Arabidopsis thaliana: one gene and its partner. The protein of the gene in region 1 interacts with the protein of each later gene in a pairwise test. Each region holds a gene or a part of one and is shown in the gene's direction. Other genes may lie near its edges. The genes, in order: HB-1 and CHR17.

Region 1 (15,656 bases):
TTGGAACATAATCTCCCTTCAATTTTAAAAGAATCAGAAAATAGTTCCAATTCCAAATGCATACGAGCTACAATAGAAGGCGATTCGATGTAAGAACCCATGAAAACTGATTCACTTTTATATTTATAAAGTAAAATAGTTAAAACATTTGCAGATATGGTTTAAGAATCAACAAAAGGGGTCTTAGAACTCTTAAGAAAATCTTCCTGCTTACTGCAATGGTGAGAACAAGAGTCATCCATCTACAACACCAGAAAACAAACGATACAGACACTACATTAGAAACTTTCGACTCATTTATCGAGCTAAAACAAAAACAAAAGAAAATTGCCTAGAGACGTAACTCAATTATTATCACTTCTAATGGCAAACTGCCCTAAGATCAAGTTCAAGAAACCCAAAAGAAAAGTCTCATTTCAGCACCACCTTGTCTTAGACTGCATGCATCGCTGACCTCTCCCCAGTAATTCATCATACATCATCATTGCAATCTGAGTGAATACCAATTTTTTGTATCAGTGTGGTTCTTATGCTGATGACAAGTGTTCTAGTCCAAGATATTCAGAAAATATAGCAGTATGTCAATATTTCAAGCATATTTGACCGCATTAACAAAGACCACACTATCGCAGAGAATCAACTACAAATGACCCATCTTTCTAAGAAACGATCGCTTATGTATCCATATAGAAAAACTCTATAACCATGATGGCAAATCCAGTAAAAAGACCCAACTCCAAGACCAGAAGATAAATTGATTGACTCACATCACTTTTGTTGATGGATCTTCATCTAGTCTCGTCTAGCCCTACAAAGCAAAAAAAATTGATTTTTTCTCAATGGATTCAAGACATTGGATTTAACTGGGTAAAGATATGTACAAAAAGATGACACAGGACAGACTCTGCTAAAGGATTTTTCTATTAGAGTAGTATGTTTTCCTAGACTGTCCAATTATTTAGAGGTGGAGTATTCTAGATGCCAAAAAGATCTGTAAAAAATGACTTCTGTTCGTAAAAACCAAAATCTTAAGGGCATATACCTAAGAACTTAATACTGGGACAAACCATGCATAAGGAAAGTTCAATAACACAATTGCACGAGAAACTCAAAACTCAGGATCCAAAAAAATTTGAGTTCAGGAAAGAAAAAGCCTAATAGAGCTACCTCCCAATCAACAATGCACACATAATGAAAACTGAGAGATGCCAGAGAAGTTTAGAATTAATTGAATAAATGAACACATAAAAAATCCACATTCACTACACTAAATAAAGTTAAGATCTTGTTTTAACTTTCTATGTAAAACAGAGCAACTCTAAACCTAGCCCATAACAACAACAACCGTAATGTGGGGAGATCCACAAGCATATGATCATTACCAGTTTACCACTATTATGCAACAAACTTAAGAATGCAGACATTTTGTCTAATCAATAATCCTACTATGATTGACATCTTCAACAACAAAGAGGTTTCTTCTTAGCAAGCTCTCCACTAAAACATGCACACGAAAGACTACACTAAACACTCAAATCAAATCAAACTCGGTAACAATTCAATTCAATTCAATCAAGAGACCTATCGAAAAAATGAAACACATTTGTCTTTAAGCATTTTTGTTTGTGCATTTCATTTACCAGACAACTAAGCATGTAAACTTTATTCTATCATCAAGAAACTAAACAATATAGAGAATAATAAGCAATGAGAAGAGAGTGAAGTACCATCAACGATCCAACCACGGCGTGAAACTGAGAGCATTGAATTGAGCAAAGCGGAAGCAGTGGCAGTGTGGTAAGGGAGCATCGTCTCCACGCAACAGCTTAGTTCTACCGGAGATCTTTCATTCCAAACAAAATTCGCAAAACCAAAACAATTTCAGAACGGAGAATAAAACGAACTAAGAGACCAAATCAGTGTTAAGAAGATATACCTGAAAATGCGATTTGTTAGAGGACTCTGTTTAGGCATCCGAAACGCGGTCCGTGCCGATGACGGCATAGGCTTGGGTCCGGCGGAGAATCTAAATGCGGTGGACGATGCTCGGCTTGCGGCGGAGCGGAACACGGACCTTGCGGCGGACATTGGACGTGTAGGATCTTTGGATTTGTTTTATTTTTTTGTTCAATTTTTGGAGAAGAGAGAGTTTAGGGCTTTTGCGTAGGGTTTTGCGTAAGGGAGGGATCTGATGCAGCTGCACCTACAGGAAGCTCTGTGAAACTGTTGCTTGCTGCGGATAAGTGACACGTGTCAAATCCGTAATTTCTAGTTTTCTTCTACATTAATTGGTTTTACCGGAATATTGAGAAAAATAGCTAGTAAACATTATGATAAAAAATAGTTAACAAAAAAAATATTTATTTATAGAAAAGGTAAATAAATTAAAATAGTTTCTCGGCATGGTGGTAATATATTAATATTCATGTAATGATTTTAAAATATATTTTAGAAAAGGTGAATAAATCCAGGAAAGGAGAAAAGAGGTTTTTAGTTTGTCCTTTATGTTGGCCGTGATTAACGGAATGGGGACTCTTCTTTTCCTCGTAAAAGACTCGAGAATGGATTCTTATTGCTAAGTGCTTTGGAAGTGTCGTTGTCTTTTACTTGTCCCGGCGTTTCTGTTAGTCTTTTCCACCCATATTACCACCAATTACACTAAACTTCTTATTGTTTACTATTTTTCAATAAACGAATGTACAGAGAACAGATTTTCCCTCCTATTGATGCCAAGAAAGCAAGAAACGCGATTGAATGTAACAAAGGCTTAATGTATCCATCTCAAGGCTGAGATTATAGCTAACATTAAGGCACATGTTTGAGAAGATTTTTGTGGCTTCGACAACATTTCGATTTAATCAAGTGGAGTAATATATGTTTCTAGATCCATAAGATTAAATAGTTGTTGTGCAAGTAATTATTACTTTCTCTTTTGCACTTACGCAAGGAGGAAGAGGCATCTTCATGTCCCCCATTATAAATCATTGTAAGCAGTCACGTTTGGTCCCATTTTAATAATGGGAGATCCATACAGTCTTTATCTAAATTATCTTTTACAATATAACCAAAAAGTGATTAAATTAACATAAGAGAATAATAACATAAAGTAGCACCATATATATAAACTATCTTTCTTTCACCGAATAATATATGCAAACGCAAACATCAAAGTTCAAAAACCCATAGAAAAGCAAACCCACCGATTAACTAAAAAAAAAAAAAAACTCCTTTCTCTTTTTTGTTTTTGTTTTCACTTTTAAGTTTTGCAATGATAACAACGATTTAGTTTGACTAAACAACGATAAGTAATATAACTTAGTTTGAAATAAAAGAAAGTACTTTTAAGAGTGTAGTAGTCTTGAGAGGAAATCAAATAACAATCTTCATCAAGGCTTGAACTGATTAGTGCCTTGCTCCTCAACAAACTCTTCAGGCTGTTCGTTCATCAAGTTCTTCTCCCACTTGGAGTTGTACGGATCCTTAAAACTGTTCTCCTCGTTGTTGTTTCCGTACGAGTACGATTGCTGTTCGTAGTTAGTCTCGGTCGCGGGAGAAGAATAGTAACCGGCGGGGCTTTTACTGTGTGACTTCCGGTAGTAATGGCCGTGGTTTCTGTCGTTGTAAAGGTCGTAGTAGTAGCTACCTTTCTCCATGAACCTTGTGTCACTCATGCCTTGTCTCTCCAAGTTGTGGCTGTAACCTTTGTACGGTGTTTCACGTTCTAACTCTGTCCCGTAAGCGTTAGAGTTGTAGACGTTTTTCTTGTTGTCTTCATTGTTCTCGGGGAAAGACTCTTCCTTAACGTTTTCATCGTACTTGTAGTTGTAGTTGTTGTTGTTGTTGTTGTTGTTGAACTCTTCCTTGGCGTAATTTTCATCGTACTTGTTGTTGTTGAACTCTTCCTTGAAGTTTGCATCGTACTTGTTGTTGTTGTTGTTGAACTCCTCATTGTTATAACCTTTAGTGCCGTAGTTCTCTGTCTTCTTCGGGTAATTTTCCTCGTAGTTGTTGAAAGACTCTTCGGTCTCGCTCAGGCTTGGAGTGGAGAAAGTCTTGCTGTTGACTTTTTCATCGTTCTTGTTGTTGTTGTTGAACTCTTCTTTGTTGTCGTTGTTGTTGTTGTATGTGGTCTCGTGACCATACAAGCCATACCCGTTTCCGGACTCGGGGACAAAGGTAGGATCTTGTTCTTGCTCTTTCTTGTTGAGGACGGATTCTTCTACTGTGGTTTTCTCGCTAGTCTCAAGAGGGATGAAACTGTTAGGGTTTTGATCTTTGGGGGATTCTCTGTGGAATTTTCCAAAGAAGTAACTGTCTCTTGCATGGATTTGGGTGGAGAGAAGAACAAGTGTAGTGAAGAAGAATAAGAGGGAGCCTCTAGTGGAGAAAGCCATGATGTGAGTAGTAGTAGTGTGATAGAGAGAAGAGAAGAGACAATTAGATATTGTGGGTTTATTGAGAGCTAGTGTGAGCTTATATATATTGAAAGATTCTAAGCTCTGTGGCTTCTTTTTCTTTCTTCTTTTACCTTTTTTTCTTTAGAAATTGTGGACTTTTTTTAATGTGTTTTAATTTGAAGTCGTTAGGTGGAAATGGGGACTGGATAGGTGATAATGGTTGATGGTGGGTCCATTAGGATGAGATGATTTTTCAAAGAGGTAGCTCAGCTTTCTCGCCTATAAGATTAGTTTATCAGAAAAAGGTTATTAACCATCCTTTTGGTTTGTTAACTTTACCAAATTACAATTATCGACTAGTTTATTTGAGATGAGAACATGGATCGTATTTTAGTAGTCTTGTTGGAAACACAACAAATATGGACTAGGAACAGATAAGGCTTTTGTAGTTTTCCCATTCATCCGTATCATACTGTCACACTCATTGTTGCTTAGCAGCTTAGGAGTTGGAACCAAAATTCAAGTCCTATCATAAAAGTTTTCATATTGGTAGCATTAGTTGGAAGATACATCTCGTCCAAAATTACTTATTTTAATTAAGTACCTTAATTAATCATAGTTAAAATAAATAAAAGAAAACATTTTGTTAGTATTCCGAGAAAACATGGAGAAGCTAGAAAAATGTGTGTTGTTTATAAACATTATTCTTCCTAATTTTACCCCTAACAAATCGACATAACAGTGTCATGTTGATCATTGAATAGCCTCGAGATGCTTTCTTATGTAAAAATCACTTTATAGTATATGTCTCCAACTTTCCCGATCTTCAAGCAAACTTATAGTATTTGATTATTTCGGATGGTCAGACAAAACCACACTTATATAAAGCTGATTTGAAATGCACCAGTAAATTCAGTAATCTTTATCATCATGTACTACTCGTAATCATTCTTGCTTTATAATACGAGCAAACAAGAATAATAGATTTTGGGGTATTTGGTCCGATCAACATTGATATCTGAAGTTACTATGTGAATTTTTGTTTCACTGTCTCAATATAACTTAACACAAGAAGCCAGGGCGAATGAGCCATCAAAACATGAACCATCGTTGTAAACTAAAACTTTGTCGTCGTTGCTCTTTGGTGTGGTTTCACTATGTCCAAAAAAGGAGAAAGAAAATAGGATATTAAAAAGAAAACAAAGAGGGAGGAATTGAGAGGCGAGTAATAATGCGAGGATTGAGGGAGGGTTAGTGGGAATTGCCCCAATCCCACTGATCACTATGGAGACACCAATACACATATCATGTGACCCTAAGCCACTAATCTCTCTAGTCTCTATTGTCAGTGATTAAATTTCTTGACTCTATATGTCCTCATGTATCTTATTCTTTCCTCATAATACATCTACAATCTAAGATATGCACTTAAAAAAAAAGTATTAAAAATATCGAATTTTGTTTTTTGAATTAGATTCCCATGTAGTAGATAACATATATGAACAAAATATACTAGGATTTATAGAAAAAGCAAACAAAAAAATTGTCAACAGAAAAGGAGAAAAAGAGACAAATGTTATTAAGTTATAATGTCAAGCAACATTGAGTAATTTGCGGGGATGAGTATGAGAGAGTAGGTATTTTCACGTTTTCAGACGTAGAGACATACAAAGAGCTTATCAACCATTTTAAAAGCTAAAAGGATTTCCCAACATAAATGAGAAGAATAAAGTGCATGTTTCCTTCTTTGAAATTGAAATAACTAAGAAAGCATGTATTGTATCATTTTTTAAAAACAAATAAAAGAAGGATATGATGAAAATAAAAGTACCAAATTCAATAAAAAGGGTAAAAGAAAAAAACAAAGTGGAAGATTTACTAATAATGGTTTGACCAAAAAAAAAAGAGGTTAATTCAATCAATCAAAGACAAAAACTCGAAAGTGTTGGGGAGATTTTGTGGCGTGACTAGCGGAATGGGACCGACAAAAGAGAGGTCGTGTGGTGGGAGTAGTCGAGCTTTGTACTTTGTAGGACCATTGCATCAACAATCTCGACTTATTGTAATTTAAGGGATACATACTAAAATGTAGTTTTCCATGCTACAATAACAACTAGTTATATTAAGATTTTTTGTTTTTTTTGTTTTTTGGTCATCTCATTTTATTAGATAATGAAAAAGATCAAACTTCCAAACAACTAGTTAAGAAAATTATGCTGAAAATGTATAAACTAAACCAAGATAATAATAATGAATGAGTGATCTCAACCTATTGTCCTACATTATCCTGAAGAGAGGTTGATCTTTGATTAGCTTCACACTAAAAATGAATGACTGATCTCAATCTATTGTACTACAATATGGAATTTCTGAATTTCTTGCAGAGAGAATGTGAGAATGTGTAAGGAATTTGTTTGTTAGTAAAATAACTTTCATTTTCCAATAATGTGGTCTTGTATATATAAACTTTCACTACACTACATGTAGTAAAATCATCTCACGTTAAACCATACAAAGGCTACTCCTACTTACGACAAACATCTAACGGTAAAACAACGAACAAGGACTTGACTTTTGTCTGCATGTCTTTGGTTTTGTCTCTTTTTTCAATAACAAATTCAATTTCCAACAATTGAACTTGGATACAACTGTGCACCTTGCCCCATAATAACTGGTTTAAACTTTAAACCACAGAGTAACCGGATTTTGGTTTGTTCACGGATGTAATTGATCCTACTAGGATTATCCTACGGATCTCAAAGCTTAAAACTAGACAATTTCTTGAGCAATGAGAAGCAAAACCAATCTGAACATTGCTGATGCATCGGTTGAACATGTCATCCAGAAACCAAACTAGGAAGAGAGTAACATCCATGCTCCAAACACTGGGAAGGTAATTAGTGCAGATGCCTGGAGATTTCATTTTTAATCAGATGTGATTAAGGATCAGACAAATCAAACATTGATTTAAACCATCTACAAGCTCTGAAAAATATGAACTGACATACCATGAAAAACACCACTTCTCTGTTTGCGAGAGCCGCTGTGATCTCGGTTCTTTCCATCTCATGCTCGATGAAGCCTTGCAACTATAAAGAATCAAAGCAAAGCGCGGTTACAGATTCATTCGATCTAAATACTGGAGATTGTGAAATGTGATTATCTGAAACAAAACCTGGTGGTGATATTTGGTAACAGCTGCCCAGAGGCTTTTTAACTGTGACAGGGCTTTTGTGAGATACGGTTGCACAGAGAGAACCTTCTTTCCCTTCCAGTGAATGTCAAATGCTTCATCAACTTTGGGCAGATGTTTTCTTTGGATATCGCTCATGAGCTAAATACAGATACACAAAGGAGAAATGAGAGGCTATGAGATTATTAAACGACGGTTTAATTGTCTATTCCTCAGATTTCATATCACTGGGAGTCCACAGCTGGATTTGAAATTTACCTTCACGAACGGGCATCTGCTAGGTGTGTGATGCCTTCGGTTATTGAATTCTCTCATCTTCAAGATGCAATAGGAACAATCATCAGTGACGTGAATTTATACCCCACTTGGTCACAACTCACAAGATTCAACTGCATTAAGCGAAAGAAACTTAAAGGCAAAAATTAAAAACCTGCTCAAGATGTTGAACCTGAATCCACTGCTCCGTAACAACTTCTGTCATCTAAAAATGATAAAGGAAGTAGGTCAGTGCCAAAAGAGCTTGAAGCATTTGGTGACAGCAACAATCTAAAACTCATTTTCATACAAACATATCAGAAACAGACAGATTTCATTTGCTACCACATCAAAGGGACAAACAAAAACAAGACAAGGACAAAACCAAACAAAAGTGGGGTAATTTGGTACTACACATAACAAATTTAGTTACATAGATTAATAGATGCTTAAATACCTAACAACAACAAGTTTTATGCCGATTTATGTTGGTTCTCTGAGATCCAAACATATATATTCAAAGTTTAAAGGAATCTATCAAAATTTTTGTAGAAATTAAACTGAAGTGAACTTAGAGATGATTCTGAACTACCAAGAATAGTTAATAATTTCTGCTTTGGATAGAAGATTAAAGGAATGGGTGAAGTAAGAAAAGCCAATAATCACCTGTTCAACTTCCAAAGCCTTAGCTTTAAGTTTATTCTTAGCTTCTCTTGCTTTATCCTCTAAAACGTGTAGCTCGAAGTTGGTTGTTCTCAAGGCAGCCCATAGAAGTTTCACCTACCATTGCCAACCCTGTTCTTTAGATTAGTGGAGTTGAAGAATAAGTAGCTCCAGCATTGGCAGAACACAATTTGGGAAATAAACCAATAGAAAAAAACATTTTGAGAACTAGTCTAAAGAATAGAATAGCCACATGACTGAACAGACCTCTTCTTCTAACTCGCTTATCCTCTTTTGAACCAAAGGTAAGCCGCTCTGAGATCAAATAACAAGTGTTAGCAATGCAACTACCATGATAAAGTGATGGCACAATATACATTTCAGATAAGAAACTAGCTCCAAACAGAAGAAACAAAGACCCTACTTCAAGAGCAGCAACATAATCAAACTCAGTACAATCTTCTAAGGGTTTATAAACTGATTCAAATACAACTAGAAGAGGGATAAAACATTACGAGCCGAGTACTTATCATACAACCAGGCAAGTTTTCGTATCACCAATACTTAGACATCCTACAACAAAGGTGTGGCAACTATACAGAAGTGGCAGCTACAACTATAATGATTAAGCTCAATAGGGCATTGAGTTTTCTCAAGTAAACATTATTCAGAAAGGGGGTATCATAGGAGAGCCTCAGACTAGCACATACGATCTAATGAGTGTCCTACCACATTCATTCCCTCATCAGCAGAGGAAATTTTTAAAGCCTTTTAGCTAATTCTACTTAACATAACTAAATGTTCAATACATTCTCCTTAGAGAACCAAACCAACCTTGTCAATGTATGAAGCAGACTGCAAATCAAGGATCTGAGTTTCAGCAACTTGGATCAACTTCTCACGCTCTTTCAAGTAAAGGGTCTTACCATCCAACTTCTGTATTGTCGCCTCAAGAACAGCTTCTACACGATCAGAGCCAATCGATTCCCAGCAAACAAAACAATACAATTAGCAAAAAGAAAAAGAAAAAAGAGAAGCCTTGGTGGTTCAACCCAAAACCACCACGAACAAAAAGAAACAAACTTTACCCAATTGAGATATTCTGAGCTTAGCTGAGTCCAGATCATTGATCAAGTTCTGATTAGAACCGATCTGCTGCTGGACTTGAGAGGAGAAAACGAAGAGTGGTGAAATGATGAAAAACAGAGCAGCCAAATGCAGCCCCATTCTCTGTTCACCGGAGTTCCGACGTTCCCGGCGTCGGAAACTAAGCCAACAGTTTCGTCTCTCCTCTTCTTCTTCAGAGAGATTTCGAGTCAAAGCTTCCTCGTAAAGGTTCTTTCGATTCCTCTGTGATTCATAGGGACGGCGAGTAAACCGGGATTAAAAAATCTGAATTGAAGTATTGAACCGGTTTTAAAAACGACAAGGACTGTACACTTGAAAACAATAAAGGGCAAGATGTTTACTCTCAACACAAGTGGTTCCTCAAAAAAAAAATCTGGGGGATATGATAATCATGCAACCAGCCTGCGGATCTGAAAGACAACAACACGAACACGAGACCAAAAGCACGTTAAAGCCCTTCAAGAGTTGTTGTATTAATTTAGTTTTAAATTAACTTGATTTATATAATAAAAAGAAAAAAAGCTTTGATAAACACATCAACGGCAGAAACACACATAAGCACGCGATTCGCTGTAGAATCCTCAAGTTTCGATTTTTTTTTTCTTTTCATTTACAACAAAAAAAAACAAGATTTTAATTAAGAAGAAAGGCAAAAAAAAAGAAAGGAATATGAAGGAGGTTGAAATTGAGATGAGTGGTACTACTACTACTACTACTAGAAGCCCTGTTGTTGTTTTTCTTCCTTTTTGGTTTTTATCGATTTTACTATTATTATTGTTTGTTCTTCCTCTTCTTCTTATTCTTACTCTTATATATTCTACTTCTTTTTATTTTTATTTTTTTACGTTTTTGGATCAGGGTTTGTTTGTTCAATAGAAAGCCCTAGTTTTTGTTTTTGTGTTCTTTGATTCTTCTTGCGGCCGTTTCTGGGTTTCTTCTTCTTCTTCTCTTTCCATGGAGATGGGTTCTGACGGTGAAGATCAGAAGATCAGGAGCGTCGTTGGTGATGCTAATCTTAATAATAAGAAGAAGAAGATTGATAATAATTCCTCCTCTAAGGATGGTCGTGTCAAGCCTAAACGTCAGATGAAAACTCCGTTTCAGCTTGAAACCTTGGAGAAAGTTTATTCAGGTTCTTATTCATCTCAATTAATTTGATTCAATCTTCGTTCTCTTTGTTTTTTTAAGTATTGATGTTGAATTTTTGATTCAGAGGAGAAGTATCCGTCGGAGGCGACGAGGGCTGAGTTATCTGAGAAATTGGATTTGTCAGATCGACAATTACAGATGTGGTTTTGTCATAGACGGTTAAAGGACAAGAAGGATGGTCAGTCTAATAAACCGGTGAAATCATCGGTTGCTGCGGTTCAATCGGCTTCGGTTAACGAGTTACCGGCTGCTGCTGGATCGGTACCTGAGCAAGATTCCAGATCTGATTCGGGTTCTGAGTCTGGTTGCAGTCCTTATTCCAACTCTAGGAGGAATTTTGCTAGTGGTAGTAGTAGTTCTCGAGCTGAATTGGATGAATATGAGACAATGGGAAAGCCGAGTTATGAGTCGCGGTTGTCGACAATGGTGCATAGAGCTATTGTCTGTATTGAGGCTCAGTTAGGTGAGCCATTGAGAGATGATGGACCTATTCTTGGCATGGAGTTTGATCCTTTGCCTCCTGGTGCGTTTGGAACACCTATAGGTATACATTACTTTCTATGTTTGCCCTGTTTTATGACTTGTGTAACCAATGTCAGTGTTAGTATTACACTTCTTGTGATAAGTAACTCTCTAACTTTGTTTTCATTGGCATTTCAGCGATGCAGAAACACCTACTTCATCCCTATGAGAGCGATCTGTATGAGCGACATGATCCCCGACCTCGAAGAGTTAGTTTTCTGACTAAACAGATATGCTCTATTTAGTTTCTTTATAATGCACCTAGATATCTCAAATTGACTAGTTGAAGAGGTTACCATAAACTGATGGTCTATGAATTATATGGTAGGAGTAATTTTTAGAGTTCTCATTACATGAAGGCTGACATTAGTCTTATGGCAGTTTTTAGTCTCTGATCATTGTTAGAAAGATGAATTCCGCTCTGCTGTTTCTATTCTCTTTCTTGTCCATTCATGTATTCACAGTTTTATAATATTTTCTTTTTACTACTTTGCTTAACATATTTGCTTTTGTTGATTATAGTCTCATGCTGCTGCCCGTTCTTTCCATGAGCAACAATCTCTGGATGATCCGTCTTCTTTTACACCTAATATGTATGAACGATACTCTGAAAATCATGCACGTGGTATGGACTATGAAGTTGCACGTTCTAGAATTTCATCATTTATGCACGCGAATGGACCTGTACCAAGGTCCTATGTTACCCCTGGACATGCGTCTCGTAACTGTTCGACATCTCAACAAGACATGCCAAGCCCCATTGAATCAGCGCATCATGGTGATAGATTCCTGCTGGAGAAGGACTCATCAGTCCTTGGTACAGAAGATCCATATTTGTTACCTGATGGAGTGCGTAAGAGTAGTGATGTGCATAGAAAGGGAAAGGTAGCTTCATTGTACCAACTTTTATTTCATCCGTTTTTGTTGACAAGATGTGTCTTTGTTGTAATGTCATTTTTCTATGTTTACTCTCACAGATTAACGATGGTAGACTTGGAAGAGGGAGTGAAACCCGAGAGAATCATGGACCAAAAGATCTTGAGAAGCTAGAAATTCAGAGGAAAAAGGTATTTGCTCTACATTTATTATCCTCCTTACTGATTATTTGGAAAGGTGTCTTATTGTCTTTTGTTAGTATCACTGTAACAGATATATTGATGAGTTGATGCTTGTGTCCTCAGAATGAAGAACGCATGAGAAAAGAGATGGAAAGGAACGAGCGTGAGAGGCGTAAGGAAGAAGAGAGGTTGATGCGTGAAAGAATAAAAGAAGAGGAAAGGTTACAGCGTGAGCAGCGTCGTGAAGTAGAAAGAAGAGAAAAATTCTTACAGAGAGAAAATGAAAGGGTAAGTTTGGAAAACTCTGCCCAGTTGTTATTCTTTGGTATTTTTTTGTTAATCCTGCTGAGATTGAGCAACTTTTGTGGCAAGAGTTCAGAGAGTGAAAATTATCTTTTTGTTGACATGTTAAAGGCTGAGAAAAAGAAGCAAAAAGACGAGATTCGTCGAGAGAAAGACGCTATTAGACGCAAGCTTGCCATTGAGAAGGCAACTGCACGTAGAATTGCCAAGGAGTCTATGGATCTTATTGAAGATGAGCAGCTAGAACTAATGGAATTGGCTGCTATTAGCAAAGGATTACCCTCAGTATTACAGCTTGATCACGACACATTGCAGAATCTTGAGGTGTATAGAGGTATGGTCTCTCAGATTTAGTTAGTAGTGGATTTGGTAATCACGGCCTAACGGTCTACTTAGTTTTTAGGCTTTACAATCAATAATTTTTGGTAATTTATTTTAGTGTTTTTCCTCTCTGAAATTTTAAGCTTAGTATTAATTTTTATATTCTTAGTTTGGTATATTCTATGGCCTAGTCTGGAATATTCAATGTTGATGTAGCATGTTAGAACACTGCGAAGATTATTTTATTGTAATTACATTGATTTCTAGATTGGGTAGTAGCTTTTGTATTTGCTTTCTCTTACAAATCTATCTTCTTCATATACTTATCAAAATCAAGACAGTCAAAGTAATTTGCTTATACCTTACTCGATTGGCTTAGCTTTATTACAGTGTTGTAATTTATTTATGGTTCCTGCAATTCATCATAGCTATTCTGCTTTTTCAGATTCTCTGAGCACATTTCCACCAAAGTCTTTGCAACTAAAAATGCCGTTTGCCATTTCTCCATGGAAAGATTCTGATGAAACTGTTGGAAACCTTCTAATGGTATGTTGTATTGATCTTTACCCTCTCTCCGGCTGCTACCTCTCATTTAAAATTAGTATTATGATCAGAATAACTTGGAGACCAATTTGAAATCAGTTGGATTTGTTTTTCCGTGTATTATGCACCCTTTTGCAGATTTCACATATCTTATGTTGTGATTGCTTTTCAGGTTTGGAGATTCCTGATATCATTTTCTGATGTTCTTGACCTATGGCCTTTTACACTGGATGAGTTTATTCAGGCTTTTCATGACTATGTAAGTCGCTCTTTAGTACCTATAGCCTGTTTTCTCGTGTTCTATAGTTGTTTCTTTCATTTCATTGTTCGTGCTCTGTATTTGATAAAGATCCTATTGTAGGACTCAAGGTTGCTGGGGGAGATACATGTTACTCTTCTGAGATCAATAATACGAGATGTCGAAGATGTTGCTAGAACACCCTTTAGTGGAATTGGAAATAACCAATATACTACAGCCAATCCTGAGGGTGGACATCCGCAAATAGTTGAAGGGGTAGCTTTCTTCGTCTCTGTATGTTAATATACTTTTCTCTTGCTGGTTTTGTTCAGTGGGCTTCATCTTTCATATGCTTCTTTCTCCTTCAGGCTTATGCATGGGGTTTTGACATTCGTAGTTGGAAAAAGCATTTGAACCCACTAACATGGCCTGAAATACTGCGACAATTAGCGCTCTCTGCTGGATTTGGACCTAAGCTGAAGAAAAAACATTCCCGATTGACCAATACTGGTGATAAGGATGAGGTACGTATTCACGTTTGGGCGCCCCCTAACTCCTAACAAGTGTTTACTCAGGATGTGATGGTAGTACTATATATGGAGAGAAATAAAAATGAAATCCTGGAAGCTAAGCTAGGCCTTTGACATAAAGATGGTTTTCGTTTTTTCTTACACATTGTTTTGGTTTGGTTGTGTATGCAGGCTAAAGGTTGTGAAGATGTCATTTCTACTATCCGAAATGGTACAGCAGCTGAAAGTGCTTTTGCATCGATGCGGGAGAAAGGGTTGCTCGCTCCTCGCAAGTCGAGGCACCGGTTGACACCTGGAACCGTCAAATTTGCAGCCTTTCATGTTCTATCTCTTGAAGGAAGCAAGGGACTGACAGTATTAGAACTTGCTGACAAGATTCAGGTAAATCTATAATCTATATTTGCTATGCTGTTTTCATCGTATTTGAATTTTTTTCATTTACATAGTCTTTATGTTTTCCATTGAAAGAAATCTGGACTTCGGGACTTGACCACAAGCAAGACACCAGAGGCTTCTATTTCTGTTGCATTGACAAGAGATGTGAAACTCTTTGAAAGAATAGCTCCTTCGACTTATTGTGTACGAGCTCCTTATGTGAAGGATCCTAAGGATGGAGAGGCAATACTCGCAGATGCCAGGAAGAAGATACGGGCTTTTGAAAATGGATTTACAGGTCCAGAAGATGTGAATGATCTTGAAAGGGATGAAGACTTCGAAATTGATATTGATGAGGATCCCGAGGTTGATGATTTAGCTACACTGGCAAGTGCATCAAAAAGTGCCGTTCTTGGAGAAGCGAATGTTTTGTCAGGAAAGGGGGTAGATACAATGTTCTGTGATGTTAAAGCAGATGTAAAGAGTGAGCTTGAGAAGGAGTTTTCATCTCCTCCTCCAAGCACTATGAAGAGCATTGTTCCACAACATAGTGAGCGGCATAAAAATACAGTGGTTGGCGGCGTGGATGCCGTAATTGATGAAAGCAACCAGGGCCAATCATGGATTCAAGGTCTTACGGAAGGGGATTACTGTCATCTAAGTGTTGAAGAGCGCCTTAATGCCCTTGTTGCTTTAGTCGGCATTGCCAATGAAGGAAACTCCATCAGAACAGGTCTTGAGGTAAAGTCTGGGTTTTCTTTTATCAGCTTTCCTGTTGAACAGAGTAGAAATTGACCTTTTGAGTCTATTATTTGTTATCTGATTGAAATTTATTCACAGGATCGTATGGAAGCAGCAAATGCTCTTAAAAAGCAAATGTGGGCTGAAGCACAGTTAGATAACAGCTGTATGAGAGATGTACTTAAGCTTGATCTTCAAAACTTAGCAAGCAGCAAAACTGAATCAACGATAGGCCTACCA
Region 2 (15,656 bases), on another chromosome or scaffold:
TGAATTCAGATAATATCTGCTTTTCAAGATCTGAGAAAGAAGGCTGTCTTTATCACTAAGCAGTCTCCACGCTTGTTTAGCTAACAGAGCTTGATTAAAACACTGAAGATCTTTAAATCCAAAGCCTCCCAGAACTTTTGGTAGCATTAAAGTTTCAGCTCCAATCCAGTGTATTTTTTTTTTTTCCAGGCAACATATTCCACCAGAAATCTATCATGACAGAAGTCAACTTTGAACATAGACTCTTTGGAAGTTTAAAACAAGACATGGCATAAACTGGAAATGCCATAGCAATTGATTTCAACAACACTTCCTTTCCACCTTGAGATAAGGTTTTAGCATACCAACCATTGAGTCTAGATAAAAGTTTTTCTTTAAGAAAGCCAAACAAAACCTGTTTTGAGCCACTGAAACATTCTGGTAGTCCTAGATATTTGCCAGTTCCTCCTTCCACATGAATTCCAGATCTATGCATAATCCAATCTTTTGTTTCTGCTTCAATCTTGTTTCCAAAGGTGACCGAAGATTTTTCCACATTGATCATTTGTCCTGAAATATGCCCATATTGTGATAAACAATGCATAATCTGAGAACATTCCTCTTGACTTGCTTTACAGATGATCAAAGTATCATCCGCAAATAATAGATGATTCACTGAAGGACCTGCATCATTAAATCGAATTCCAGTAATTTTTCCACATCGTTCAGCTTGGTTTAAGATATGAGTAAGAGCTTCAGTACAGATGACAAACAAAAAAGGTGATAACGGATCTCCCTGTCTTATACCTCTTTGTGGTAAGAAATGACTGTAAGGTTGACCATTAATCAGTACTGAATAAGAAACAGAAGAGACACATCCCATTATCCAACCTATCCATTGGTTGCAGAACCCCAAGGCCCTTAAAATACCTTTTAAAAAAGGCCATTCTACTCTATCATAAGCCTTAGACATGTCTGTTTTGAACACCATAAAATCTCTGGAAATCTTATCATTGGTTCTTAAATTATGAATTATCTCATGAGCCAGGAGAATATTATCAGAGGCTAACCTCTCAGCTACAAAAGCAGATTGAGTTGGTGAAACTATGGCTGGCAGATGTTTCTTCAGTCTAGCTGATAAGATTTTGGAGACTATCTTGTAAAGAACCGAGCATAAGCTGATAGGTCTTATGTCACTCATTCTTTCTGGATTTGAGATTTTTGGAATTAAACATAAATGAGTGTGATTCCAATCTTCAGGGAGGATGCCTGTTTCAAAGAAACCCATAATGTCTGCAATAATTTGATTCTTAACTAAATTCCAATGAGTCTGGAAAAAAGTCGCCGTGAAGCCATCAGGACCTGGTGAACTTTCAGCATTAATGGAAAAGACAGCATTATAGATCTCTTGTTCTGTAATTTTCTGAGTGAGATCATGATTCATATCTTGTGTAACTTTCGTCTGAAAACCTTCCAAGACTGAATCCATATTTGCAGGATAAGAAGAGGTGAACAGATCCACAACTGTTCTGCTATTTTTCCTTTTTCCTTATTGAGAGTGTGCTCAATACCATTTTCATCCACCAGAAAACTCAAGCAGTTTTTAATTCTATTAGCTTTTACAGAGGCCTGAAAAAACTTAGAATTCTTATCCCCACCAGCCATCCATTTATCCCTACTTTTCAATCTCCAGAAAGATTCCTCCTCTCTAAAGGCAATACCCAACTGATTTTGAATAACAGAAATCTTGTTCCAACACGGAAATTGGTAACTCTTTTCTTCATCCAATTCAAACCTTAACCTCTTAATTCGATTCTCAGCATTATAATCCTTCCCTTTTTTCCAATGACTAATAGATTTCCTACAGTCAACCAGTCGATGCATAGAAGAAGAATTATGAGAAGAAATATTACCTATCCATGCTTTGTGAATAACGTCTTGGTATTGAGGGTCTTCAGCAAATCTTTTATCAAATCTAAAAGTTCCTCGGAAAAGCTCCTGATCATTGACAAATTTCACCAAAACCGGTCTGTGATCTGATCCAAGCTTCTCCAAAAACCATTGATGTGAATTAGGAAACAAAGAAAACCACTGTGAATTTCCAAAACAGCGATCTAATTTACATTGAATCCATTCTCTTCATTTCTTTTCCCTCCCCAAGTGAAACTATTCCCAGTACTGCTCAGTTCATGCATATCACAGGTTGATAACATATTCTTGAAGTCCTGAAAGGAGGATTCTACTCTAGATGGGCCACCTATCTTCTCCTTATTAGACAAGATATCATTAAAATCCCCTATCAGACTCCAAGCTGCCATTCGATTCACACCAATGTTACTGATTTTATCCAGAAGCAAGTGTCTGAGATTCTGCCTTGGATTACCATAAACACAAGAGATAAACCATCTCTTACATCCTTGAGATATTTCCAAATCCAGCAAATTTTTGTCTTCATAAAGAAACTCTATATGAAGATGTTGGTTCCAAAATATTGCTAATCCACCACTCTTTCCTTCCGGTTCAATAGTATGAAAGTAACCATAACCCAACCACCTAAAAACTTTCAAAATAAACAGGTCAGAATTCATGGTCTCCATGAGGAACAAGATGTCAGGGAAATATTCCTTTTTCATTTCCCTCAAGTGCCGAATTGTCCAAGGGTTCCTCAGTCCTTGGCAATTCCAACTAAGGATGTCTTATTGATACTGCGGTGGTTCTTGAGGAACCACCGTAATGAGAGACTTTACTGTACTATCAGATCTTTCCGAGTCTGTAATTTTCTTATTCCTTTTGATAGCAGAAGCAAACTCAATATTAAGACTAACCTCTTTCTCTTTTATACCAGCGAAAGAATCTTGCCTCTTGTGAACTAAAAGAGCTTTTCTTTTTCTTGGATTCTTCTGCTTAATACTTAATCCAGATGAACCAGACTCATTAAACCCAAAGAGGAATCCTTTAGATGTAGGATAGTCCAGATTACCAGAAGGATGACTAGATCTTTTTGAATCACCAGTCTCATGGTTTGGAATATCATTTACCTCCGGCAATATTGAATATTCTTGGTGAGTGGAGATAGACGATAACTTTGTAGGAACAATCATCTCTCCTGGTTTCAGTAAGCATTTCTTTCCAAATAGAAAACCTGAGTCTACACTCCTATGATCTTCCTCTGAATCTCTAGTGTTTCCTACAGTAGCAAAGGGGCAAACACTTTTCTCATGAGTGAGACGTTGACAAAGGAAACATCTTTTCCGAATCCTTTCAAAATCAAAAGATACTGATATCATTTCACCCGGTAGGAGCAGAACTTCCTTAAAGTTACGCAAAGGATTTCGAACATCAAGGAGCACCTGAACCCTAATATAGTCTTGTGCTTGAGATTTTTTCTAGTTCCACAGTCATCACTTTCCCAACACAACCTGCGATTTCAAATATGTTTAGTTATTAAAAAGACATTTCAAATATGTTGCAAAAATAATTTGGTAATAAAGCTGTTGACTATTAAGTAAAATGATGTTTGTACTTTGATTAATAATTGACAGAAGAAATTGATGGATACAAATTTAAAGAATTCGGAATCTGCTACTGTACAATGTGATTATTCATTCACATTTAAATTGAAAAAGATTTTACATGCTACCAACGTAGGATTTATTTACAGAATCATTTTTTCACCTTCTCTTGCCATCACAAAGAATCAAAGAACCCTTGTTCTTCCTCCACACATTGAATCCCCCAAACCTCCTCTTCCAGCGAGCTTTCTCTTGTTCAAGACTTGAGATCAACATATACCTACAGACTAGAGATTCCGGTTTTCGATAGAGAACTTGTTTTGACTACGTCCTTAGGAGGAACTGTCCGCGAGAGGAATAAGTTACCCCTTGAATCTTTCCTGCTGTAACGCTCCATATCTTGATTCATCACTATGCTGCACTGTCTCCAACTCTCACACTTCAACTCTACCCCAAAGTACCTTAAATGGTCAGAAATGCTATTTCCCCTTACCGATCTGAAACAACAATTGCCTAGAGAGTTATACTGGATTCATGTAAAACCTATATGCATGTTGTAACGATTTAAGACCAATAGCCATCGCTCTGGTGAAATCTGGTAGTAAATTACGATCACAATTTTCGACTTGGAAGTTTGTTCTTGCTAATGTAGTGGAGAGAAATTATATCAGTAAGTTGTTTCAGAGGGATTGATAGTTACCTGCTGCAAGTAGGATCTTCACCAGTGTTGTCACAAACTTTCTCCAAACCAAAAAGAACAAAATTCGAAAAACTGAAATCTTTCACCCACACCTGCATCCCGGAACACACCATTACTGCTTTCTTCGTTTTTTCAGAAAGTTAATAAACCAAGCGGAGAAATTTGTCTGATCACTACTGAGTATTCCAGATTTTTGCAAAATTAAAACTGCTATTCTGATAAACATCCAGTGCACTGAGAAAGTGATGTTACCTCTGTTGGGAAGTGGTGGTATGTTTTTTGAGGGAAATGGTAATAGTAAGGAGGCAGATGAGGAACCATATCACGGTCATGCGTGATCCGGAAGGTATTGGGCACAAGCAAACTGTAATAAGATGCAAAAGCGGCATTCCCAACACGAGGTTGCCCAAATGTCATAACCTGTACGTTTTCTTCACCTTCATTTACCTGCGATTTGTATCCAATATAAGCCATTAACAACTCAAAGGACAAAACAATAAGATAAAAAAAAAATTCAATGCAAGGATGATTACAACTAGGTCTAGACCACAAAAGGAAGCCATGGCTCCTCCCATTGAATGACCGGTCACTATGATGTTGATGTTCGCCCCGTAGACTTTTTTCACTCGTGTTATTGCATCCAAAACCGCAGGCCGTAAAGTTGTATTGTGATAAGCACTGTAAAAGCCATGGTGCACCTGCCAATGTGGATAACTATTACAAATTCCACCGTACTACAAGACCAACTCAATGACAAATACTTGTTGTTAAAGTGTACCATTGCATCTGGCATGTCAGGGTAATTCAGATCGAGCTGTTTCCAGAACAAGTCTGAGACCCAATTTTGTATGCTGCACAAGTTTTGGATTGATTAAGCATTAACCAAGTTTATGCGAAGGAGTAGCTTTTAGATTACAATGACTAGAATAAAACCTGTGTTCTTGAGTTCCCCGAAATGCAATAATGATAGCATTCAAATCCTTAGCCACCCCAACATACGCCTGTTGTTACAAGTTACATGTACTGATATTAATAATTGTTCAATGAAGAAACATCATGAGTTCATGACCAGCTGTAGCTTATGATATCAGAGCAGACCTGTAAGCAGTGTTCAACGTCAAATATGACCTCTATTACTTCGAAATCCTGCACCATCCTAACAAACGTTAGAGCTCAACTCAATAATTGCGGCTTCAAAGTTCAAACAGTGATCTGCTTCAACATGTGTTTTTTACCTTTGTCAAACCATTGCATCTTTCGCACGTCCAAGTGAAGAGTTTTGTCAAATCAGACTCATAGACCTGCATACATCTTACAAACTTGATTCACTCATCTTATGTACGTTATCAGCATCATCTCTTTTCTCTAGTAGTGCAAATAATGATAAATGAAAATATGAAGAGGACAAGTGTAATTTCTTCTCACTTGCAGAACACTAGATATAAATGACATTCGTTCTACAGGGTATTACGTTTTGAAGCTAAATCATTATCAAAGGTCTTTTACTACTTCACTAATCTGCCATTAACTTACCGCAGAGGCATACTCCACAAGCGTGACGGCAAGCGTATGGTTGTAAACAGGTCGATCATCATCGCTCTTCAACTTGAGAACTGCAGTTAGAAGAAAGAAGCTAACATAAATCCACTTGCTTCAGTCTTAACTCCTTCGTAGCCTCACAACTCATACCAAGAACATGAAATTGTCGAAAACATAAAGCTTTGAAATCAATATTTTGACCTTCATGGTTCCTTATGTATATGATGATGCTACAAGGATTATGAATTGATTTGTTCCAAACATGATAGAACATGTAATTAGGCCTTAATGAAAAATCACTGTAGCCAGATTAAATTTCCAATTTCCCAAGCACTTCACATTACACAGAAAGTTTAAAATCTTAATTAAGCTCAGAGAGACTCAGGAGAATAAAAAAACTGGAAGTCCCAATAAAGGAAACAGACATAGAATCATTATAGAAGTTGCATTACCACCTCTACCATATGAAGATGAAACAAGAAAAGTAAAAACTGCCAGCAAGAACAACAATCTCTTTTGTCCCATGTTCTGCAAGAAGACAATAAACACAACCACATCATCCTCTGTTCATCAACCAATGTTAAGGGCAAAATTGAGCTAAAACAAAGCAGAATTCGGAAGCAAATTAGCCAAAAATATACCTTATAAAACGAGACTCACGAAACCCAAACTAATGAGGATTAGGACAAAACCCGAAAGAGATTTCAGCAACCAAAAGTCCCAGATAAATTAAACTGAGGATCCAAAGCCTAAATTGGACTTCTTTTACAACAATTCGGAAATTTCCGACGATGATCGGAGATTATTCCCGGCAAGAAAATTATACGGCGAGCTTATATATTATTATATAGAAGTCGTGATCTTGCGAAACAGAAGCTAATAGAAGAAAAGAAACGGCGATTAAAATACGAATATTCGGTTTTTTTTTTCTTAACTTCCACTTTCATCCTCTATACGCAAAGGTGCATGAGACAAGCGTGTAGGCTCTTTCAAAGGGTATTATTGGAATTTTAGGTGTGTAGCGTGTCGCAACTTCAAGTGCTGAGGTGTCAGATACGTGATTCGGGCGGATAAATGGATAAGGCCGTTCCGTTATAAGAACGAGAAGTTGACCTTTTTGACTTTCGCTTTCTTCTAAGTTTAACTTCGAGCCCATGGGCCTTTAAAGCCCGAATTCCAAGGCGGGAATTTCCGAAACTCTTACTTCTCAAGTGGCGGGAGAATCTTTATAAGTCAAGCCAACGTGGCACATCTCAGCCGTAGATTTGATTTCTCGAAATCAACGGGGTAAAATAGAAGCTACGGTCGTTTCAAACGTCGGGTTTGTTGCTTTTAATTTCACTTTTGTTTATTTACTAACCAAAGCAAAAAAAACTCAGGAACCCTCGATTCGATCTCTCAGACGAAATCAGGATTCGTAGAGGCGCGTCGATGGCTAGAGCTTCGAAGCGGGAAGTTTCTTCAGACGAGGCTTACTCGTCGGAGGAAGAGGAGCAAGTTAACGATCAGGCCAATGTGGAAGAAGATGATGACGAGCTCGAGGCCGTCGCTCGCTCTGCGGGCTCTGACGAGGAAGATGTTGCGCCCGACGAAGCACCTGTCTCTGACGACGAGGTTGTCCCCGTAGAAGATGACGCTGAAGAGGTATGTCTTCGTTTCTGTTTTCCACTCTTCGATTTACATTCGCATGTCGGCTGTGAATTCGGGGATTGCTGTATTTGGAAATCTGAATGTATTCTAAGTAAGATTAGGGTTTCCTTTGAGCGTATATTCGATATTTGGGTGTCTTTTGGTTTCGACTCTCTTTGTTTGAAGGTTTATGCTTAGAAGTGCTTACAATGATGGGTGGTCGCTCATTATGATGGTACATTCATGTGACTCGTGAGGATATTTGGTCACTCTTTTCATAATTTGATGGTTATATGTAGGACGAAGAAGACGAGGAGAAAGCTGAGATCAGCAAACGTGAGAAGGCTAGACTCAAAGAAATGCAGAAGATGAAGAAGCAGAAAATTCAGCAAATCTTAGACTCCCAAAATGCTTCCATAGATGCTGATATGGTAAGTTAGTAAATAACTGAGCTGCTTGTCTTTAGTATCCAGAGGTATTGAAATAACTCAATCATTCCATTTATTAGAACAATAAAGGAAAGGGGAGGATAAAGTATCTTCTGCAGCAAACTGAGTTATTTGCACATTTTGCTAAAAGTGACCCGTCTCCGTCCCAGAAGAAGGGAAAAGGAAGGTGTGTTGAGTGCAACTTATCTCAAAATAAATTGTGGTTATTCATATTAAGTTTCCAGAAATATAATTTATTGGGTTTCACTTTATCGTCAGGGGTCGCCATTCTTCCAAACTAACCGAGGAAGAGGAAGATGAAGAGTGTTTAAAAGAAGAAGAGGGTGGTATAGTTGGATCTGGAGGCACACGGTTGCTCACTCAGCCCGCTTGTAAGTACCTTTGTTTTGCTCCTAATATCTTGATATAGCGTATGTTTGCTCAAGTCCTATTGCGAGTCGAAGTTATTATAGGATTTGACACCTTATGCCCACTTCTTTGATTGGTAGAGTTGTTTGATATATTCTTCAGTTGCGAGCTCACAATTTCTAGGTAGGACTGCATAAATTCTGTAGAATTTAGAGATCTGATCTTCATACTCTTCATATTGCAGGTATTCAGGGGAAGTTAAGAGATTACCAATTAGCTGGTTTAAACTGGCTCATTCGGCTGTATGAGAACGGCATAAATGGGATTCTTGCAGATGAAATGGTAAACCACTAATTATCTTAGCATATAATAAGATTTTTCAGCTCTCTAATGTTATCTGATGCTAATCTTTATTGTTTTTGTTCATGGTCTAGGGTCTGGGGAAGACGCTTCAAACCATTTCTTTGTTGGCTTACCTGCATGAGTACAGGGGAATTAATGGCCCTCATATGGTAGTTGCTCCAAAATCAACCCTTGGTAACTGGATGAATGAAATTCGCCGATTTTGTCCTGTCCTGCGTGCTGTGAAATTTCTCGGTAATCCCGAGGAAAGAGTAAGTCATAATAGCTCTTACATTTGAATGGTTGCATTTATATGCACCTGGCAGGATTCTGAGATATATTTTAAATAATGCAGAGACATATTCGTGAAGAACTGCTAGTTGCAGGGAAATTCGACATTTGTGTAACAAGCTTTGAGATGGCTATCAAAGAGAAGACAACATTGCGCCGTTTTAGCTGGCGATATATAATCATTGATGAAGCACATCGAATTAAAAATGAGAATTCACTCCTTTCGAAAACCATGAGACTTTTCAGCACCAACTATCGGCTTCTTATCACGGGAACCCCCCTTCAGGTACTTGTCAAATCTTTTGATCTATAATTGTTTAGATCCTTCAATTTTTCTGTCAGATTGCTTCTGCCTATGTTGAAACTACTTTCTTGCTTGAGTCTGTTGAACTTAGTTTTTTTTTCTTTTCGTGTTCCTTAGACATGCTTCTTACTATCTTCTGTACTTGATTTGCTTGAGTTAATATTGTATTCATTTCATATGTTTCTACTACAGAATAATCTCCATGAATTGTGGGCCCTTCTCAATTTTCTTCTCCCTGAGGTTTTTAGTTCAGCAGAAACTTTTGACGAGTGGTTTCAAATTTCTGGTGAAAACGACCAGCAAGAAGTTGTTCAACAACTTCACAAGGTATGTACTCATATTTTATCAAGGTTATTCTCTAAGTTCTTATGCTAATCATTTACCTCATCTTTGTAGGTTCTGCGACCATTTCTTCTTCGGAGGTTAAAATCAGATGTAGAGAAAGGCTTACCTCCAAAAAAGGAGACAATACTCAAAGTTGGCATGTCTCAAATGCAAAAACAGTACTACAAGGCTTTACTGCAGAAGGATCTTGAAGTGGTTAATGGTGGTGGAGAACGCAAACGTCTGTTGAACATAGCAATGCAATTGCGGAAATGCTGCAATCACCCTTATCTCTTCCAGGGTGCGGAGCCTGGTCCCCCATATACTACAGGAGATCACCTTGTAACAAACGCAGGTAAGATTTACATTACAAGTAGATCATTCAGAAATGTGGCAATTGGCTTAGTTATTTTCTCTTTACATGTTCTTGTTTCTAGGTAAGATGGTTCTCTTAGATAAATTGCTACCTAAGTTGAAGGATCGAGATTCAAGGGTTCTGATATTTTCTCAGGTATTCATTAACGCAAACAAATAATTGTTCCTATCTTTGATTCCTTTTTTCTGAGTGATATCTTTCTTGGTTCTTTGTGCTTATTCCAACGATTTTGCTCATCTGTATCAGATGACAAGGCTTTTGGATATTCTCGAGGATTACCTAATGTATCGTGGTTACCAGTACTGCCGTATTGATGGAAATACTGGTGGTGACGAACGAGATGCTTCCATAGAAGCCTATAACAAGCCAGGAAGTGAGAAATTCGTTTTCTTGTTATCCACTAGAGCTGGAGGACTTGGTATCAATCTTGCTACTGCAGATGTTGTGATCCTCTATGATAGTGACTGGTAAGGCTCTTTTTGTGTCCATTGTAATTTATGAGTGTTTTCTTTTATGCCTAATGAGGTGGGTGGATTATGGCAGGAACCCTCAAGTTGACTTGCAAGCTCAGGATCGTGCACATAGGATTGGTCAAAAAAAAGAAGTTCAAGTGTTCCGGTTCTGCACCGAGGTTACTCTTGTACCCATGTGTATGAAGTAAGAATGACCTGGAGAACTTGAACTAATTCTGCATTGGTCTTATGCAGAATGCTATTGAGGCTAAAGTCATTGAGAGAGCTTACAAGAAGTTGGCACTTGATGCTCTGGTTATTCAGCAAGGGAGATTGGCAGAACAGAAAAGTAAGTGCTTGTGTACTGAGGCTGTTAGATGTATTGGATTTTCTCTTACATATATATACTGATTTCTTTTCTTTGCTTTCCAGCTGTTAATAAGGATGAGTTGCTTCAAATGGTGAGATATGGTGCTGAAATGGTGTTTAGTTCTAAAGATAGCACAATTACGGATGAGGATATTGACAGAATCATTGCCAAAGGAGAAGAGGCAACGGCTGAACTTGATGCCAAGATGAAGAAATTTACTGAAGATGCAATACAGTTTAAAATGGATGACAGTAAGTGTGCTATTTATCCCTTTTTCCAATGGTAACTCCCTTGCATGGGTAATGGGATGTCCAAACAAGATAGTTTTTGGTTTGTTGCAGGTGCTGACTTTTATGATTTTGACGATGACAACAAGGTATTCTTGGATAATTAATTGAATGATTGAAGGAAAGGTTTAACGCATACTGTGGTTATGCTCTGCAGTTTTTCGAATATCGTTTCCTGATTTCTTTTTTAATTTTGTTTGGTAGGATGAGAGCAAGGTGGATTTTAAAAAGATTGTGAGTGAAAATTGGAATGATCCACCAAAAAGAGAGAGAAAGCGCAAGTAAATATTACTTCTACTTTTTCATTACGTGGTCTATCCTGTCTTCCTAAACAATATCTAACTTCAACAATTTACTTTTCTCTACCCACCCTTTAGCTACTCTGAAGTTGAATACTTCAAGCAAACGTTGCGACAAGGTGCTCCAGCTAAACCTAAAGAGCCTAGAATTCCACGCATGCCCCAATTGTGAGTACCTCAATTGTCTCCACTCTGCATTTAGCCTTTTCCCTGTCTTATTTATAGTACTTTTATCGTAAAAATCTAATTTCTTGTCCATCCTGCAGGCATGATTTTCAGTTCTTTAACATTCAGAGGCTGACTGAGCTGTATGAAAAAGAAGTGCGATACCTTATGGTGGGAATAACAAGTTTATCAACATGTTATGTAATTTATGCAGCTTTTGTGTCTGATTAGTTCTGAATAGCAATTTGTTTCACTCTGGTTTCAGCAAGCACATCAGAAAACTCAAATGAAAGACACAATTGAGGTTGATGAACCTGAAGGTCTTTCTCAGTCTTTGCCCTCTTTTCTTACATTATTTTACTGAATCTATTACTTAAGAAATAATTTTGCAGAAGTTGGAGATCCCTTAACTGCTGAAGAAGTGGAAGAAAAGGAGCTATTGCTGGAAGAGGCAAGCCAAACCATTCGACCTTACTGTGGGTTGACATTTGTTTTTGATGGTTTTTTTATAATTTAATGGAGTTGATATTTTTTAGGGTTTCTCAACATGGAGCAGAAGAGACTTCAATGCCTTCATTAGGGCTTGTGAGAAGTATGGCCGGAACGACATAAAGAGTATTGCCTCTGAGATGGAAGGGAAAACTGAGGAAGAGGTTGAACGATATGCTCAAGTTTTCCAAGTGCGATATAAAGAGCTGAATGGTTAGTAACTTTAGATTGTTAAGTAAAGTTAATGAGTGTTTGCAGTGCGACAAAGTTGGATATTTATCCTAAGTAAGCTCTGCCTCTTGTTTTCCTTTGTAAAAATTGTAGATTACGACAGAATCATCAAGAATATTGAGAGAGGGGAAGCAAGAATCTCTAGGAAAGATGAAATCATGAAAGCTATTGGGAAGAAACTGGATCGCTACAGAAACCCGTGGCTGGAACTGAAGATTCAATATGGTCAGAACAAAGGGAAGCTGTACAATGAAGAGTGCGACCGTTTCATGGTATGACATCTATTTATCAAACTCTTTGTTGAGATTTCATTGTTATTGTTTTATTCTAATATGATATTGACCCGATGAACTTGTGATTATCAGATATGCATGGTCCATAAACTTGGGTATGGAAACTGGGATGAGCTAAAGGCAGCGTTTCGGACATCCCCCTTGTTTAGGTTTGACTGGTTTGTAAAATCCCGCACAACTCAGGAACTTGCAAGGAGATGTGACACACTAATCAGGTTGATTGAGAAAGAGAATCAAGAATTTGATGAGAGAGAGAGGCAAGCCCGAAAAGAGAAGAAGCTTTCAAAGGTGAGGACTTGAAGGAACATTTTTTTTTTTTTGTGCGAAGAACATTTTAAGTTTACATTTTCATTTACTGATGAGATGCTGTGGAATTGTTTCTCATGATCTGTTCTACAACTTGTTTCAGAGTGCAACGCCATCAAAACGACCTTCGGGTAGGCAAGCAAATGAGAGCCCTTCATCTCTTCTGAAGAAACGAAAGCAGCTGTCAATGGATGATTATGTGAGCTCGGTACTCAAAATCATTTCCAAAACATAAAAAGAGTTTTTCATTTTACTGGTTAATTCATGCAAAGCAGACAGACCATCTATTTCTGATCCTAACTAAAAAAAAACTTTATGTCTCTGCAGGGAAAGCGTAGGAAATAAGAAGGCTTGTGTTGAATCCATCACTAAGTAATCAGAAAGATTTATGATCACTTCTAGGTTTGATTCCGAATCGGAGAATTAGTTAGAAGAAGCTCCTTAGAGACAAGGATCTAATATTTTGTACCCGCAAGCATCACTGCATTGTCTCCGACTTCTCTTATTTCTTCAACGTGTATTTTACTCTATTTTGTTTGTAGAAATATTCACCACATTCCTAGTAGTGCGTTTTTAGTAAATCTCAAATCAACTTTTGTGGTCGGATTTGAACAAAACATAACTCTCTCGTCTCTTCTCATGTTGTCACAACTTCCCAATTGAGTGTGACAAATGTAGATTTGTAGATGATAAGAGAAGTCTTTCAAAGATAGATTTTTTTTCTTCTTTTCCTTCTGTCTGTAGACTCGAAACCTGAATCCATACACAATGAGACATTAAATAGTACAGAAAAATTATAAAAATCGACTCGAATCCTCCCTCCCATATTACATATACAACCCATTGAACAAGAAGAAAAAAAAAAAAAAAAAAAAAAAAAAAAAAAAAAAAACCCCAAAAACATCACCTGAAAATAAACTTTTTCTTCCCCTCCTAATCGTCCCCAACTACTCATCATTCTTCTTGAACTCTCTTCCTCATATGTTCTTCAGCTTCAACCACAATATTGAAGAGTCCTCTTTCTCGACTCAGACATCAAATTCGACAACTGACCGACCCGACTCGACAAAATGTTCGCATGAACCCAAAGCCTCTCTCCCTTTGCCTTTTGGCACAGTGACAAAAGTTCTCTATTTTTCAAACAAGCTTTCATCTTTCCCATTTCAGTCATTTGTACTATCAAAGCTGCCCGGTCCATTGGTAGCTCTCTTCCTCTCCCTCCAATTCTCTCCCCACACCTTTGCTTCCGCCACCGCCCTCTCTCTATCTAAATCTCGGTTCCTCGGAGTGCCTCTCGATGATCTCCCAACACTCGCCGGGCTCCCTCTCTGTGATTCTTGCCCTTCCAAATCGCTTAATCCCCATTTTCTACCTGACCCGCCTCCTGTCTCGCTCCCACCTTCTGATCCTGCATTGACTTCCCTCACCATATCCCTTCTTCTGTAATCAGGAGAGTTCTTGTGAGTGGCTGGTGACCCTAACCGACTCCGAGTCTCTGCAGGACTATCCAAGCTACTCCCATCTCCCAAGCTCCTCCGATCATCCCTTGTTCTGATAAATGGTGGCCCACTCCCACTTCTACTGTTTTGACCGCTTGGTGCGTTTGGGTCAAACGTTTGCGAAGCTAAGTATGTTAGAGCTGTCACCACGTCGCCAATCAGTGGTCTTGTCGCTGCTTGTTCCTGTAAACACATTGCTGCAACTGCAAGTGCTTGATATAGACCACGCATTGGATACCGCCCTTGCAGCGATGGATCCGCCATCTTCGGAAACTTTCTACGATCTTTGAACAACGGCCTAGCCTGTATAGCCAAGCAAAGACCAACAAGTGACAGAGAACCCCCAAAACAGTTCAAGTCAGTAAAGACGTTTTCAGATCCCAAACATTGACTATATCACATGAGAGCGCAAAAAAAATTGTGATTTTTCCCTTTTGGTGATATAAGAAAAAGTTGAGTAACATACCCATGCGACAAGGTTGTGCTCTCCGGGTGCTCGAGCATTATCAATAGCTTTTCGACCCGTGATGAGCTCGAGAAACACAACCCCAAAGCTATAAACATCGGATTTCAATGTGAGTTGCCCTGTCATGGCATATTCCGGTGCACAATAACCATATGTGCCCATCACACGAGTTGACACATGTGTTTTATCGCCCACGGGACCTAACTTAGCTAACCCAAAATCAGATAACTTTGGGTGATAGCCATCACCGAGAAGAATGTTGGATGATTTCAGGTCTCTGTAGATCACAGGCGGATTCGCTTTATCATGCAGATACTCCAGTCCCTTTGCTGCTCCTGCCGCTATTGTCATTCTAGTACTCCAGTCTAGAGGCTCTTTATCAGGTGGAAGATCTGAAAATCAAAGTTTTAATCGTTACATGCACTTGATAGAACTATTACAAGCTAATATTTCCATTTATTCACCATAAATAGCTTTGGAAGAACAGATTAAGAAAAGTAAAAAAGACTTTCCCAATATATCAAATACAACAAAGCATCCTTCTACAATACAGTAGACGGTGCCACAGATTCGGTCCATGGTAGTTTCAAATAAAAATGCAAAGGTTTCTTATCTTATGGAAAATAATGCAATTCCATGTTAAGAGTGGGGAAATATCACTAAGCATACCGTGTAGATGATCCTCCAATGATCCTAGTGGCATATACTCATACACAAGAAGACGCTGGTCCCCATCAGCACAATAACCAATCAAATTCACAAGATTGGGATGATGCAGAAGGCTCAGCATAAGAACCTCTACAAGAAACTCTCTGTTTCCTTGTAGACCGTTTCGATCAAGCTGTTTAACAGCTACTATCTGCAAAATATTAAATCCAATTAGAAGACGAATCTTGATTATGAAACATTAAATTCAATTTACGAACTTCACCTGTCCTGTGGTCTCTAGACGACCTTTGTAAACACGTCCGAAACCTCCTTCTCCAAGAAGACATTCCGGTCGAAA

Evidence for each region.
Region 2: the proteins of HB-1 (region 1) and CHR17 interact in a two-hybrid assay, tested with the Arabidopsis thaliana proteins (one study listed by BioGRID).

Annotation. Positions count from the first base shown.
Region 1 is NC_003070.9:9,969,346-9,985,001, forward strand, and holds the start of HB-1 (homeobox-1), read left to right. Parts: upstream 1-10,132; 5' UTR 10,133-10,590; coding exon 10,591-10,768; intron 10,769-10,849; coding exon 10,850-11,329; intron 11,330-11,445; coding exon 11,446-11,516; intron 11,517-11,829; coding exon 11,830-12,192; intron 12,193-12,284; coding exon 12,285-12,374; intron 12,375-12,488; coding exon 12,489-12,653; intron 12,654-12,779; coding exon 12,780-13,002; intron 13,003-13,434; coding exon 13,435-13,535; intron 13,536-13,704; coding exon 13,705-13,791; intron 13,792-13,893; coding exon 13,894-14,046; intron 14,047-14,138; coding exon 14,139-14,294; intron 14,295-14,471; coding exon 14,472-14,681; intron 14,682-14,768; coding exon 14,769-15,416; intron 15,417-15,515; coding exon 15,516-15,656. Other genes in the region: AT1G28395 (uncharacterized protein), read right to left, coding at 472-491, 1,728-1,843, 1,937-2,088; AT1G28400 (GATA zinc finger protein), read right to left, coding at 3,387-4,394; AT1G28410 (myosin heavy chain-like protein), read right to left, coding at 7,251-7,307, 7,406-7,486, 7,573-7,731, 7,849-7,905, 8,021-8,071, 8,512-8,625, 8,776-8,823, 9,343-9,470 and 1 more. UniProt on the Arabidopsis thaliana protein: Transcriptional regulator required for the maintenance of the plant vegetative phase.
Region 2 is NC_003076.8:6,193,564-6,209,219, reverse strand, and holds CHR17 (chromatin remodeling factor17), read left to right. Parts: upstream 1-7,053; 5' UTR 7,054-7,161; coding exon 7,162-7,374; intron 7,375-7,658; coding exon 7,659-7,790; intron 7,791-7,867; coding exon 7,868-7,974; intron 7,975-8,066; coding exon 8,067-8,179; intron 8,180-8,400; coding exon 8,401-8,498; intron 8,499-8,590; coding exon 8,591-8,770; intron 8,771-8,853; coding exon 8,854-9,075; intron 9,076-9,285; coding exon 9,286-9,420; intron 9,421-9,489; coding exon 9,490-9,772; intron 9,773-9,854; coding exon 9,855-9,928; intron 9,929-10,039; coding exon 10,040-10,260; intron 10,261-10,336; coding exon 10,337-10,424; intron 10,425-10,500; coding exon 10,501-10,594; intron 10,595-10,677; coding exon 10,678-10,866; intron 10,867-10,956; coding exon 10,957-10,991; intron 10,992-11,106; coding exon 11,107-11,183; intron 11,184-11,279; coding exon 11,280-11,369; intron 11,370-11,467; coding exon 11,468-11,537; intron 11,538-11,631; coding exon 11,632-11,686; intron 11,687-11,758; and 13 more. Other genes in the region: AT5G18630 (alpha/beta-Hydrolases superfamily protein), read right to left, coding at 3,772-3,988, 4,192-4,283, 4,444-4,638, 4,725-4,889, 4,970-5,042, 5,125-5,192, 5,290-5,337, 5,427-5,492 and 2 more; AT5G18610 (Protein kinase superfamily protein), read right to left, coding at 13,849-14,487, 14,651-15,042, 15,320-15,509, 15,582-15,656. UniProt on the Arabidopsis thaliana protein: Possesses intrinsic ATP-dependent nucleosome-remodeling activity. Constitutes the catalytic subunit of several complexes capable of forming ordered nucleosome arrays on chromatin. Involved in the formation of nucleosome distribution patterns.